Linked DNA regions of Rhinolophus ferrumequinum. The protein of the gene in region 2 purifies or fractionates together with the protein of the main gene of each other region. This does not show direct contact. Links are inferred from orthologs where the notes say so. Each region holds a gene or a part of one and is shown on either strand. Other genes may lie near its edges. The genes, in order: PI4KB and RAB11B.

Evidence for each region.
Region 1: the proteins of RAB11B (region 2) and PI4KB purify together in Homo sapiens (co-immunoprecipitation; 3 studies listed by BioGRID and IntAct, with this or other methods). This does not show direct contact. The link is inferred for Rhinolophus ferrumequinum from reciprocal best matches to the Homo sapiens genes RAB11B and PI4KB.

What each region holds. Positions count from the first base shown.
Region 1 is NC_046305.1:51,330,097-51,338,261, forward strand, and holds the start of PI4KB (phosphatidylinositol 4-kinase beta), read right to left. Parts: upstream 3,177-8,165; 5' UTR 2,737-3,176; intron 1-2,736. UniProt on the Homo sapiens protein: Phosphorylates phosphatidylinositol (PI) in the first committed step in the production of the second messenger inositol-1,4,5,-trisphosphate (PIP). May regulate Golgi disintegration/reorganization during mitosis, possibly via its phosphorylation.
Region 2 is NC_046301.1:57,209,921-57,217,347, reverse strand, and holds the start of RAB11B (ras-related protein Rab-11B), read right to left. Parts: upstream 3,217-7,427; 5' UTR 2,622-3,216; coding exon 2,582-2,621; intron 1-2,581. UniProt on the Homo sapiens protein: The small GTPases Rab are key regulators of intracellular membrane trafficking, from the formation of transport vesicles to their fusion with membranes.

The DNA.
Region 1 (8,165 bases), on a different chromosome or scaffold from region 2:
GGAGGGATGCATGGAAAGGGACAGTTGATTTTCATCATAAACTGACGTACCATTGGATTTGTTACCAAGAACGCAGATACCTTTAATAATGGTTTTTAAAAAGAAGGTGCTCTTCAGAAGAGACTCCCCCCGTCACCCGAGGCTGCCTGTTCAGTTGTTGAGCAGGTCCCTCCTCAAGTCCCAAAGTCTATCTCCAACCTCGCTCATCTTTCCCCCTCGACCTCAGTGGTGACGATGGAGATTGAGTACCACTTTTTTCTTGGAGAAACACAGGGCCAAGCAGTCAAGCAGGCTCAGGCCCTGCCGGGAACCAGGTAATTGTACCCAAAGCACCAAGGGGGGTTGACACCAGGAGAGAGGGCATTCTCAACTACCAGCAGGAGGGTAGGGAGGGCAGTGGTCTCAGGATAGTTAAGTCAATATTGAATTAGGCTGAGAATTCTCTGTGCAAGGCCATCGAGCTGGTATAAGCAGATTCCAGCCAGACAGCCCAAGCCAGCTCTGGGAGCCTCTGCTGAAACAGACAGATGACAAAGCAACCTGTCGGCTCACCTCTGTCTGAACTGTTCCTCCCTACTGCAAGCCCCAAATGCACTTGGACTAGGCCCTCTCTTGTCCCCTGCCAGGTACGGAAAGATTTCTTCCAGACTTCCTCCCCAAATCAAAGAATCTCAATTCGCTGCTTTGGATAGTGTCCAGCAAACATGTTCTCCTGTGGTGTGGACCCAGCTCTGAGAAGGCAGCGGGGGAACTAGGGAAATATGATTTCTCTTTGGGGGTGCTTCCAAGGAGCGAAGCTGCTCCTAAAAAGGGGGGTTCTGAGTAGACTACGCTCTGGCCAACTAGGAAGGGCAAGTGAGATGAGGCAGTGGGATTACTTTCAAACAGGCCCCGAGTCAGATGATGAATGGAACTTCACACGCCCTCTTCGCCAGCGCAGGCCGAGAGACAGACACGGCGTACGAGGGAGCAACTGGTTTCCTAAGTCCCATCTCACTCCAGAGTTCTCTTTTCCAGCCAGCTTCCTCAAAGGGCTTGCCCACAAACATACTTCCACCTATGGAATCTGGAGTTATGGGTCAAGTGCAAGAGGAACGGAACAGCACCTTAAGGCAGTGGGAAGAAAGAAGCAGGCCTGGAGCTTGTCTTTCAAACTGACTTACGCCCATGGCTATAGACTAGAATGACCCAACAGAGGGACCAGAACGAAGGAGAATTCTCAGGATAACTAAACCACCACTAATAAATACTTTTCGTCTGAGAAACCCAGAGTGTGTTGTAAACAAACAAACAGTCTAATTTTACCCCCACCCCACACCCTGCTATTAGCCAATTATTGCACTGATGCCTAGAGAGTGGACCATTTTCCCAAAAAGGTCACTGTAGAGGTCAAGCGTGCAAGTCACACGTTGGACCCAGGAGTCCTGATTCTGAATGTACAAGCTCTTTCCCTTGTTTCCTGATCCTTTTTCCAGTGACCCACCCCCCAACCCCACCCCAGCCCTAAGCTCTCAGGGAATCAACCAAAACCATTCTAGTAAGCTGATTCCTCTTGCATCTGGCCAGAGGTGGGAGGACCCTCTATTCTGTGACCCCTTTAAGACAAGCCTAACATTACATAATCCAAAAGGAAATTTCTCACAACCTCACTTAGTTTCCATGCAGGACATTTCCCCTCCACTAGTGACTGATTCTGAGTAGACAACAAAGTGTAATCTGATCGGGGACTTCTTCAAAACCTGCTCCATCCTTCAGAAACACTCTTCTGTCCAGGAAAGCCTGAATGACACAGCTAGGCTCCCCGTCCTCCCAACACATTTTCTTCTTAGTTCAAGGTTTAGCTGATCCTGAAATGAGTTGTACATGGAGATAAAAGAGTGTGACAGAAAGAATACAGACAGACCACGGGGAAAACAGAACCCAGTGTCCCATGGATCAGCAAAGTTCTCGAAACTCGACGGAGAAAGTGTCAAAGTTGGAAGTGCTGAACGGGAAGGGGTGCTGTTGTATCTTCTCACTTCTATAGGGACAAACCTCCAGAGGTCGGGGGATTAGGGAGGGATAAAGGGAAGCCAAAGCAAGTTCCAGGGGTCATAAAGAACTCCAGAGAAGAGGAGCAAGGATGAAAGTCAAAGTAGAATGCGAAGGATACGTTGGGAATGACGCTGAGATCCTTTAAGGAGAGGGGAATAGGCAATTCTTGGAAGTGAGGAGCTTGGTGGGGGGCGGTGAGGTCATGGAATCCGAAGCAGCAGAGGAAGAGAGGGCCCCAGTCTTTAGCTCAGGGAAATGGGAACTCTGCGCGGAGGCTGCAGAGACACTGGAAGAAAGGGGCAAAATAGGAAAAGGGGTAAAGGCGGAGGTCATGGGAAAGGTTTGGGGCAGGAGCACCGACGACGAGGAAGGACAACCAAGAATGGACATTCTAAGAGGTGTCCTGATGTGCAAAGAGTTCGTGACTTAAGGAAAAATAATTCGGGACGGAGGCAGCAGGGATAAGAGTGAGGGAGGGGGGAATCCCCGGGGCAGAGGGAGGAGCTAAACAGAAGAGGAAGCCAAAAGGCACAGGAGGACCCCAGGCTTGAATGGACACGGTGGAGAAGGACCCGGGGTGCAGCTGCCACCGGGAGGGCAGTTTTGTAGTCGAATCCAGGTGTGGGGGCGGGGGGGAGCCGTGCGGGACACGGTGGGAGAGGGACCCACACGAGGGGGACTCCCGGGGTAGGAGTCGCTTACCTCCGGGGGACCTCCGCGGAGGGGGTGCGGGCGGTCGGGGTCGGGCTGCCGACACCGCCGCCTCAGCAGCAGCGGCCGCTCCCGGGTTCCATTGGCCGCCTGCGCTTCCCTGACAGCGGCCGCGGCGGCTGCACCAGGCCCCGGCTGCGGGGCTGCCCTCGGCAGCGCCTGAAGGGGCCTTCGCGCTGTCTCAAGTTCGACCGGGCCGCACAGCCTTCTCTTCCTCTCTCCGCACAACCACGACCAAAAAAAAAAAAAAAAGAAAGAAAGAAAAATATAAATCCCCAGCAGGGCTCGATTCTTCTGAGTCCAAGCCCTTCTTCTTGGGATATGCTTTCGTGCTCCTCCGACGCTCAGGACCCTGCCGAGCCCATAGTAATCTAAGGAGGCGGGTGAGCTGCCCGGAACATGCCTGTTCAGAAATAGAAAAGGGGGCGGGGAAGATGGTTGGAAACTGGGGAGGGAGTGGCGTACGAGGGGAGGATCCTACGTGTGAGAGGCGGGGCCAATGTTTGGGAGGCGGGCCTAAGAGAGTTTGCGAGGCTAAGGAAGCCGAAAGGGAAGTGAAATTTGCTGGATAAGGGGCTAGGGCTCCCGTCCTCGAACAGAGTGCGGTAGGTGGGCGTGGGTGCCCTGTTAGAAGTACGGATATATAGGGTACTTCTATAAGTACATGCAAATTATATGTAAATAAGTCCGTTTGAGTTACCTACAGAGTTACCGCAATTGCAGTCAGTGGCTTTCCCCCGCACCCCTATTCCACACGACTCCCTTAGTAATTTATCAGGCCGTAGAATGGACGTTGGGGGCCCAGCGGGGAGAGGAGGAAGAGAGAGGGTGGGCGGGGAAGATAGTCACCCTCACTACCCTTTTCCTATTCACTTAAAGGACGATGCCGTGATTACGTCCCTTATCGCTTCGGGAATGGCGCGGTCCAACCACGTCAATCTTTCGCCGTTAGCGGTGCGACTCGAGGCCGCGGTTCTGCCTCAGAGGTCACCACCTGTCTGGGCAGCCTTTGGCCTCCAGCCTTTGGATTTCGATCCCTCCAGGGAGGGGCAGGACCGGGCCAGGTAGGGAGAAGTGAGTGAAATGATAAAAGCCTGGACGGCACAACCCTTCCTTCCAAACGACATCACGTACAATTAAACAAATAAAAACGCACCCTGCAAATGGACCTCTGGTGCTGGTTTGTGTATTTGCCAGTTCGCATTATTGATTGGGAGCTCTGTCAGTCAGAACCTCTGTCCTAATGTAACCTCTGTCCCAACCTTCGCAGGGCTTTATTTAATATTTTACATTGAGGTTAGTTATTTGAGCCCAGATCTTGGATGCCACCTTCCCTGAGGCTGATTTGGGGTGACTGATTTCACTTCTTTGCACCTAAGTTTCTATGTCTGAAAAGTGGGCCCGGGAATCTTAACACTTTACAGGGTTTTGGGAGGATTAAAATACAGATTAGTACTATGTATAGTACTATATTACTATTATTGAGACAATAATATAGATGATGAAAAGAGGGTAACTGCTTCAGTTTCATTGGGAGGCAGAATAAAGGTAATAGTATGAAAATAGCTGTGTAAAACACGTCATATGTGCAAAAGTAAAACAAATAGGGTACCTAATTGCTGAAGGAACATAGAGGAGTATGGTTATTTAATCCAGAAGGCCCAGCCACTCAGTATATGGCGAATGAGTGAATGAAAGGCTTCTCAAAAATATTGTGAGCTAGGTCTTAGGAGATTTATTGGATATGATCCAGCAGAACAAAATAAAAAGAGGAGAGGCTTAAAAACTGTATGCTGAAGAGTAGAAATGGGAATTTGCTCAAATCAAGAGGAGAGGGCAAGCTGATAAGCTAGGTTAAAGCAGGAGTACAGTAATGAAAGATGAGCTGAGAAAGAGGCCAAGAGTGCCAAAGATAGTTTAAATTTGTCACCACCCATCTGGAGTGGGGAGTCACCAGTCCACCTGTCAGGACCAGCAGCTCTTGGCCACCTCCCAATCAGCTGTCAGGCAAGTATCAAGAGGTGATGGCCCTGCTTTAGCCTAGTTTAAAAATGTCACTCATACATCCTCTCCAGGGGTAGGGTTCCAAAGGGCCATAAGACCAGCTTTTTGAAACATTGTAAAAAGGGATGTGACAGCCCTGCTTTTTATAGTAGGAAGTTTATTTTCCAATGACAAAAAAAAGAAAAAACAAAAACATTTCAGGAACATCTCTGGTCAAACTTTAAATAGCAACTTCTTATAGCTATAGGCAGTTATAAGTCCTTTGTTAACAGAGACCCCCCTCCCATACATAGAGTATTAAGTAGAAGAGTTTCTTTCAAGTGTTGTGTTTCTAGCTCTAAGAGTTCATATGTGTGAATTTCTTTGTATGTCTTTATGACTTTTGTCTTTCTGACTTAACTTTTGTGTTTTGGTTACTCTCTGTTTCTACGAGTCTCCCAGGCCCTCTATTCTGATCTCCTCAAGGCAAGAAAGGATTCATCTTTGTATTTTAACTGTACCTTTAGTTTCTGCCACAGGTCAAAGTTTATTTTGTTGATATAGCACCAGGAAAGTACCAACAGGGTCAGGTAATGTCATTTATCTTATTTACATTTCATCAAATTGGAGAAAGAAGTTGGCTTATGCATCAAAAGCTCGTAAAACTAGAGGACCCAAGTCAGAATACGGCTCCAGTTATATTTTAAACATCCCTGTGGTTAAAGAAATTATAAAAAATGATTTTTTTCCCATGGGTTTTTTTTTATTAGAAAAAAAGAAGCTAGCAGTTATTACTCAAGCTCCTACTGTGTATGAATATGAGGTGTGATCAAAAAATACAGTGAGTGTTTATATTTTAAAAAATTTTGATAGTGAAAGATCCATTGCCATTAATGCCCCTCAAAATACTTCTCCTTGCTTCAAACACACACATCCCATCATTCTTGCCACTTTCTGAAGCAATTCTGGAAGTCCTTTTTCATGAGTGTATTGTTGTGCTACCGTGGCTGCCTCGATGTCCTGAATCGATTCAAAACATTTACTTTTCATGGTCATTTTGACTTTGGGGAAGAGCCAGAAGTCACATGGTGCCAGATCTGGTGAATAAGGTGAATGAGGACACACCGCAATGTTTTTATTTGACAGAAATTGCTGTACCAAAGCAATGTGTGACACGGAGCCTTTCCGTTGTGATAACAAAATACGATGAATGCTGCTGCCCAGTGCCATCCAACGGAAAGGCAGGGATCTTCAATACGGGAAGCGGTGTGTGGAACCTTAGTAACAGTGAGTGACAAGTTTCAACTTGTTCGGTGCAGTCAGTCGGGTGTGAGCTACAGTTGAGAGAAGGTGTGTTGTATAGTGTGCCATAAATCATCCTCCATCATGACAATGCTCCGTGTCACACATCACTTCTGGTTTGGCAATTTCTGTCAAAAACATTACGATGTGTCCTCATCCACCTTATTCACCAGATCTGTTACTGTACAACTTCTGGCTCTTCCCCAATGTCAAAATGATTCAGGACATTGAGGCAGCCACGACAGTGCAACTAAAGACACTCACAAAAGAGGACTTCCAGAACTGCTTCAGAAAGTGGCAAGAACAATGCGATAAGTGTGTTCGAGGCGAGGGGGAATGTTTTGAGGAGAATTAATGGCAATGTGTCTTTTACTATAATGAATTTTTTTTAATTTAAACATTCACCAGATTGTTTGATCACACCTTGTACAAACATTACTTCATTTAACCCTGTGAAAGAGATTTTATCACATTTTATGGAAACTGAGCTCAGAATAGTTAAGACATTGTCTTTCAAAATTTTTTTACTTCAACCCATAAGAAATACCTTTTATATCATGACCACTGAAGAACACATAGACATGTCTTCACTGAGATAAGTTTCATGAAACAATACTTACCCTTACTATATGCAAAGCACTGGTATTTTCTATTCCATCTCACTTTTTAAAAATAGTTTTAAAAATAGTTTTCAATAGTTTTCAATAGCTAAATCAGTTTCACAACCTACTAATGGGTTGCAATCTACAGTTTGAAAAAAAACTGGACTAAATAAATGTTCAAAATCATATGGAAAGTGGTCAAGCTAAGACTGACACCAAATTCATGCTCTTTCCAGTAAACAAATGCCTCCTTGTGAACATTTAAGAAATACTGCATTACATGTATATTATACTTAGCTTTATCTCATTGTATGGAGCCAGCAGGAATATCCTAGGCAAAGGAGTAGACCTACTAGGAACTGTAACATGAGATGAAACACTTAGACAAATATATAGTGACATTAATTTGCCCATTTAATGTGAATGTGGCATTTGCTTTGATTTCTAAAGAAAGTTGATTGTTATCCACAAAAATAAGCCATAAATTCATTTATTTGGGACCACAGACTAGACATATAGTTTGTCTTGGTTTAATAGCAAAATATTATTTCAGATTTTAGTAAATTATAAATTATGCTTAACTTCATTTATGATAGGGCTAAAATAAAAGAAGATGACACGGGGTGGGGAGGTAATAGAAGTGGGGAACAGGGTATTGGGGACAGAATAAGGAATGGCAGAGGAGCAGTAGACCGTCTCCAAAATCTTAGTTTAGCCCTTCATCTAATGAGCTAAAGATTGCCTGAATTACAGCATAACTTGTTTCACGTTAGATTTTAAAAATAGAGTAAGTTTTTAAATAGGCTATAACATTCACATAAACGCCATACATTCGCCATAACATTCACGTAAATCTCAAAGTCATCCAGTGCCGTTCTCCCAAAGTGAATGGAAACATCCCCATCACCCCATCACAGTGAGGACAGTACTTCCTTGGGTGCTTCTATCCTATCACCAGTGGTTTATTTTCCCATATGCCCATCACCTCTAATGTGTCAGCTGTCTGGTCTAGTCCCTCATCTCTTCCTACCGTGTTTCCCCAAAAATAAGGGTCTTGTATATATTAAGTTTTGCTCCAAAAGATGCATTAGGGCTTATGTTCAGAGGCTGTCAACCTGAAAAATCATGCTAGGGCTTATTTTCCGGTTAGGTCTTATTTTCAGGAAAACATGGTACATGAATAATGGCAACAGCTGCCTGACTGGTTCCTCTTTACTCCAGTTCCTTCATCCTCTAATGCAATTTTTATACCTTTCACACATCATTCAGTCAACAGATAATTATAATGGTGTGTGTTCTTCTTCTAGTGTATTTCTCACTAGTAGTCGGACACATCCTTTCTGTCGGACAGGACTCTCTACGGGGTTGTACTGCCAAACCAATACATCCCACATCCTCAAACCCCTGCTTTTCCTGGAATGCCCTCCTCTTGCTGCCCAAATTGAACTCTCTGAATTTACACTCAGCTCTTACACATGAGGATCAAGATTGAACTGTTACGTTGTTCTGTTCTTGCTTTGTGAGTTAGACTTA
Region 2 (7,427 bases):
CTATCCCCTTTTCTCCTAAAGGGATCCCCACACCAGGCAGCAGGGCCGGGGAGAAAGTTGGCCCTTGTTAACCCTTCCGGTGCAGCTGTGCCTTGGACGTCTCTCTGACATCCGGGCCTGACCCTCTGCAGGCCACAGGGTCTCGGGAGGGGCCAGAAGGGCGCAGCTGTCACGTTTTTGTCCACCTGACATATTTATGGCAAGTGAGGTGATGGTAGCGGCTTCCTTCCTCCCTTCTTTTATCTGACTTTTTATATTTGACTTTCGATACAAAGTCAAATAAGAGTTTATTTTTCCCATTTAAGGAAGTGAAAACCTGAGTGAATATAAAGACAAACATTACGGGATAACAAGGGGGTCCTCGGACAAGGTGTAACTATGAAGGGGAGGGCTCAGAGGATCCCAGTTAGGGGAACCCTGACCTTGTGGATTAGATTTTCACTTGCAACCCGGCTTGAGAAGGTCAGCAGGGCACCTGCTGGACTCAGAAAGGGAGGCCAGTGGGGTAGAGCTGCAGGGCAGGCGGGCACCCTTTGCCAGTTGTCCCAGAAGCCAGATTAGTGTTTCCAGGAAGTGAACTAGAGACAAGTCCTGGGAAGTACACAGCTGTTCCACTGCCCCTGACCCAGTAACGGTACTTCTGGGAACACACTTCAAGGAAGTAACCCAAAGGGTAAAAGATGAGTAGTGCAAACATTTGGAGCTGGGTTATTTATAACAGCACACAGTTGAAAATAACAAGCAGGAATGGCCACAGAAGCCTGCAGGGGGCAACTGGGGGAATGCCCCCTGCCCTGGCAATGCCACAGCCAGGCAGATGCCCAGCCCTGACCTGGGAGCAGCTGCCTCAGGGCAAGCTGAGTAGAGACAGGCACCAGCTGCAGCAGGACTGGAGTCCAAACCACCTGTCACCAGTCCCAAAAGCCTTGACAGAGCTTCCCCTGCTTCTAAGGTGACACCACAAGACTCAGTCAGCACCACAGCCTTGGCCTGAAGCCTGCTGACCACACAGCCTTCTCTGCCAGTGACATGTCAACCCGCAGGCATTCCCAGACCCCACAGTGCTGTGCGAGGACTCTGGGCTTTTGCATGGGCACCCCCTTTGCCCAGTAGCCTTTCAACACATGGATGTCCCAGGTAGGGAGTGCTCCACTCACTCTCCACAACCCCAACGTCCCCAGTCCCCAGGCCCCAAGATGCTTGATGGTCAGCCGAGGCTAGCTCCAGACACAGACGCACTCCCAGGGATGGCCAGGATCCCCTAGCGAGTGGAAGATGCCAACAGCTGGTGTGGGAGGCAGACCCTCACACAACAGGCAACAGAGCAAACATACCCTGCATGGGCCCAAGAGTTAGCTCTCAAGGGCGGCCGCTGTCACCCAGCACGGACAGCAGAAGACCTGGCAGAGGTCCAGCTTGGCACAGAAGGTGCTGTGAAGCCAGTGACCCTTAAACCAGCCCAGTTGAGAGACGGACTCCAGTGACATGTGGTGAGTCTCCCTCGCTGTGAGGCAGGGTGAAGGAGCTCTCCCGCTGGCCCCAGGCCAGCAATGGCTGCCTGACCTACCTAGGCCTTACTTGAGGCTCCCAGAGCCCTGTGTCCCTCCGGCAGGGAAAATCATCCAGCAGGTTGGCCCAGACCTGAGGCATCAGCGCGCAGATGTTGGGGGAGGCGGTCTGACAGCCCACTCCGTGATCCGGGTGCAAGCTCCCCCAGATACACTCCTTAAGTGGTAAAGCCCACAGCTGGCCTGGGTTCAAATCCTGCTCCAACACTTATTCACTGTGTTCTTCTCTTGTCTCCCTGGACCCCCGTTTCCAGACTGAATAATACTGACCTCACAGCGCTGTGGTGAGAATTTCAATGAATTCAGGTGTGTAAAGTACTTAGAAAAGTGCAGGTACTTTGGGTAGTGCTATTAAGAGTTCTAAGAGCTGTGAGAGATAGAACAACAGTAACGACCAGACCTGGGTCCAGCACACACAGTCCCCTCCACCAGGCGCCCCTCCATGGAACCCCGGGTCCGCACCCCACCCTGTGTCCTCCACCACAAACCTCAACACACATTATCCACCCCTCCCTTCCGGGCTCCGCCCCCAGACGCAGTCACCAATCAAGTCTGCTCCCGCCCACCCTCTGAAGAGTAACGCCCCAAACGCCCAGCCCACTTCTTGGACACGCCCACCACGCCTCAGCCCCGCCTCCAAGGGCCCCGCCCGCACCCCATGGAGTTTTCCACCCAACCCGGCCTGACAAACGCTAGGCGGTCCCGCCCCCTCCAGGGCTCCGCCCCTAACGGCCTCTCCCACCGCGCTCTGGGACCCACCCCCTCTGGGCTCCGGCCCCGCCTCGGCGCATCCAGGGCCCTCAGGCCTCTTTGGGCCACCCGCTCGGCACAGTGGCGCACCAACATACAAAGCTGATCGAACCCGGGCTGCCCCGGTCTTCCCGGCTGCTTGACCCGCCGGGCCCCAAGCTCCGGGCTCCGGCCGAGGCCCAGCGGCCTGGAGGGCAGCTACGGCCCGCCTGTTCGCCGTCTCGCCGCCGCCCCCTCGCTCGTCTGTACCCCAGCGGCCTTACCTTTGAATAGGTAGTCGTATTCGTCGTCCCGGGTCCCCATTGTCCTGGCGCTTCCGGCGGGATCGGCGACTCCGCAACCCCACCACAAACACCCTGCGGGGGCGGAGCCGGTGCCGCGCAGAGCGGCTGCCAGGTGGCCAATCAGCGGCGAGTGGCGTAGCGACCGGCACCCAGAAGAGCCAATCAGAGGCGGAAACAGAGCCCCCGAGGTGGGCGCAGACTGGGATCCACCCTCCTTGCCCTCGGTCTCCTGGAGAAAGGCGGAAGGAATGCGGACTTTTCTGAAGTGACGGTCGCGTCATCCTATCAGAAGCGGACTCAGGAAGCGGAAGACTGGAAGAATGAAACAAATTGACGGAGCGAATAGCCAATAAGAGGCTTGATTCAGACCGGGCCCGACTAACGGAGGACATGTCCAGGAAGGGAAATGGAGCTACGTCCAGGTGATGTTACGCTATTTAACGTCCCGATGACGTCATAGGTCAATGTGTGCCGCTCTGGGCCCCCTCCCCCACCATAATTAATGACCGTTTCCCGGGGTCCTCTGCGCGGCGTCTTTTCAACCTAGAGGTCCTCCTCTGTCCGTTGCAGTTTTCATTCATTTGTAAGTGACTCATTATGTCAACCCACTGCCTCAGTTTCCCTCTTCTGTATAACAGGAAAGAAACACCTCATTGAAATTTTTGAGTATATCTATGGATCATTTACCTAAACGTACTAACTCAACCATCCATTTTCTGTCATTAAGTTTTTGTGTAATAAATATTTATAAATTTTACTGAGCGTCAGACTTTGTCCAACATGATCTCCCCTTCTCTGTCCCTTACCCTGTTTTATTACACACGCGCACACACACACACACACACTGCCCTAGGATTTATCACTACCTAACTTTAAAGTATGTATTTCTTTCTTGGTCCATTAATCTGTTTAGTTTCTGTCCCAAGTCAACAGAATCATCAGTCCCATGAGGGCAGGGACTTGGGCACAATCACTGCTGCATCCTCAGTGCTCAATAAATATTTGATATGAAATAGATACCGTAAGCATACAGCTCATGTGCTAGTTATTATAACTGTATTATAATTATTATTGCCTCCTGGACCTCATCCCTGGGACGTCCATCAGGCGTCCCAGACACCAATTTGGCCTCCTTCCCCCTTTTCCTGTTGTCTTCATCCCGACTCCACCCCATCATCAAAGCCACAGGTCATGTGCTTTTCCCTCTTCATCGTTTACTCCCTTGTCCCTGCCTCCCACCCCCTCTCTCAATTGCCATTTTCTATCTCTCCTTCCTCCTAAATTTCTGACCAGTTCTCTCCCCTTCCCCTGCCACCATCCTGATCCTGGCCCCATCATCACTGCCTGGACCTGTACAGTTGCTTGCCTACCTCCAGCAGTCAGAGGGTGTCTTTTAAAACATGAGAGTCAGCACCTGAAACTAATAATAATAATAAAAAAAAACATGAGAGTCAGATCGTCTCCCTCCCCTGTTTAAAAATCTTTTAATCCTTCCTTTAATAAGCATTTACTAAGCACCTACTAACAGCGCTCTAGGTGCTGGGGATGCACCATTGAACAAGACAAAATCCCAGCACTCATGGAGCTGACAGTCCAGTAGAGTCAGGAGGAAGAAGCAAGTAAACAACACTCACAAGATAATTTCAGAACGGGAGGCATGTAATGAGGGGAATAACCTGGTTTATGTGATGGTGGAGCTCCTTAGCTAGGAAGGCAGGGAAGGCATCCGGGAGGAGGTGGCATTTGCTCTGAGTCGCAGGTCGGTGTGGAGTTAGTGGTAACAGCGTTTCAGGCAGAGGAAACAGCAAGTGAGAGAGGAGAGCCTGATGGGTCTCAACAGCTAGGAGGCCATCCATGGTGGCTGGAGAGTGGCGTCCAGGGCCCAGACACGAGATTAGGTGAAAAGGCAAGGCTGTGGGAACCAAACCAGGGCAGATCCTCAGAACTTTATCAGCAGGCTCCTGGGCAGTTGGCTTGAAGCCAAACCCCTCCCTACCCCACCACCACTCACCACCCAGCTGCCTGAGAACCATGCTGCAGCCAGGTGGTCAGTGCACTGCTTCCCCAGACAGAGCTGCACTTCGGACCCAGGCCACTAGGCTTTTGCTTTCAGTGTCCTCTTCCTGGAATACCATTCACCGCCCCCATTTTTGTAGAATTTTCATCCTTCTTTGTAAACCATACTCAAGCCACGTCGACCTCATGAAGCCTTTTCTCCTATCTGGGTCACGCTCCCCTCCGGCCCCACCCTAGCATGATGGCCTAGTAAGGATGGCTAATGTTTATATTGGGTGCTCACTGTGAGCCAGACACTGTTCTCAGTCTTTTTCACATCATGTTCCATGAAATCTTGAAATCCTCACAGCACCAGGAGAACAGGAATGGGTGGGGGGCAGGGTAAGGGTCGGGTACAGAACCCCATCCCTATTTTCCAGAGGCAGGAACTGAAGCCACAGAGCTTTAGTGGCCTGTCGTTAGTCACCTAGGATACAGATGTGGTTAAGAGCTCCAGCTCTGGAGTTGGACAGGTCTGGATTCACATCCTGGCTTTTGTTTGGTTCCCAACCATGGTGGTTATTCTTTGTGTTGTTCCTGGGAGTGGAAGGACAGAAAATGCTGGGTTGAAAGAGATGGTGATGGCCGGAGAAAGGACAGGGTAGAGAGATGAGCCCTCTTGCAAGAGCGTGAGAATTAGGAGGGCAAAGCTGGGTGGGACTCCCCACTAGTTCCAATGGGGCTTCCCAATAGTTCCAGTGGGCTCAAGGGAGACTTTCTAAGCCTGCCTGGTACAGGACACCCCCAACAAGGAGCCTGGAGAGGATCTGGCCTATAGTCGACCCTCTATGGGCTGAGGATGTCGTCGTCCATACTCAACCAGAGCCCCCGGGAAGCTACAGTGATGCCAGCACCTTCCAGGAAGAGTCATGGATCACCTATCTAGGGAAAGAGGCTCCCACTATTTCTCCAAGGAGCACTTAAGAGGAATAGTGGAAAGATAGATTCTCCTATTAAAACAGCAGCTGGGTTCAGGGCACAGGCAGAAGCTTTTTCTCAAACATGTGTCCTGGACACAAGAGATCACATAATTCCAGGCTATAAGATATGGGAGATAATTTTAGATGGTGCGTTGAATAACATTGTGTTAGGTCAGCTATGGACATGGTCAAAGCGGCCAGGAGCCAAAAATACCCCTCTGTCAAGTCAGACCCGCCCCCAGGAGCCAAGTCATGCCCCTCTGCCAAGTCAGACCCCTCCCCGCATGACAGACACTGAGGCCCCTGGCGTTTCAGCAGACCGCTGGTGTGATAAGCAACTCCGGACACAGCCGCTCGCGCCCGATCTGTGCTGGGGGGGCCTGCTCATCTGCCACCTCACTCAGCCAACCCCCACCCCAAAAACCGCACATATGCCTCCCTCCCTCGACCCTGGGCGCGACTTCGCCCCGTCTGCGGGACCAGTGAACCTCGCCGGGGAGCGCAGAATAAAGAACTCACTTTCCTCAACCTGCCTGACGAGCCTCATTATCTTGCCGCAAGCCTTACACATTGAACCACAAACCGAGAAAGTCCTACCTTTTCTCAATTCTTAAAATCCTTTATTATCTCTCCAGGAGAGAGGCTTACTCTCTCTGGCTCATATCTCTTGAACAATTTTCTAACCCTCATCTCCCTTTTAAAACAGAACTGGGATGCAGACTGAGAGCCTGCAGTAGGCAACAGAATCAGGCTAGAATTTTCTTACCCATTTACTGTGAAATGTTTAAACACTTAGAAAGTGGAAAGAACTGTACAGAGGATATCTCTGTACTCATATCCCCACCAGTATTTTGCTTTGTCACATATCTACCTCTCTATCCACCCATCCATCATCTTGTTTTTTGATACATTTCAGAGAAAGTTAAAGATTTGGGGGATCTAATGTATTGCACAGTGTTTAGAGTTAATAAGAGTTGCTAAAAAAGATCTTAAATGTTCACACCACAAAAAATAAATGGCATTGTGTGATGTGTGGACGTGTTAGCTAATGCTACTGTGGTAATCATTTCAAAATACATAAATGTATCAAATCAACGCATTGTAAACCTTAAACTTACACAATGTTAATATCAATTATATTGTAATAAAGCTGGAAAACATTAAAAATAAAACAAAGAAAATTGAAGGCATCAGTTGTCTTCACCTCAACACTTCAGCATGCATTTCGTTAGCTAGACTTCAGTATTTGTTTATGGCTCTTTGTCTCTTTTCTTTGAAGATAAAATTTACATACAATGAAATGCACAAATCTTAAGGGGATGCTTGCTGAGACAGAGGCATACACCGGAATAATCCACCTCTATTAAGGGTCAGAATATCACTGTAACTCAGGAAATTTCCATCATGTCCCCTCCCAGTCAATCCCCACTCCACCCTTCCAGGGGCAGCCACTACGTATCACAGATCAGTTTTCTAGCTGGTATTTGAAATCATTGGCATTGTTTTATTTTTGACTTTAGTTTTACTAACCTGCTTATGGGAGGTGATATTGGTTTCTCGTATGTGGTGGAGCTATGTTTACACTTTTAAAAACTAAGTCAATCGGTCCTCATATGCCTGGGAGCTGCTTTATACTGTCATATGGCTTAACTATTAACAGTACACTCCCTTTCACTCTTAAGTGTCTCAGTCTGGACAATCAATTATAGGTCACCCTATCTGTAATGGCAGGGGCTTTAACAGTAAGTTTGGGACTTTTCTCTCACTAGAGTATTCCAAGCACTTAGTACAGGGTTTGCCATGTAGCACGTGCTCGATAAATATTAGTTGAATTTATATATATATATATG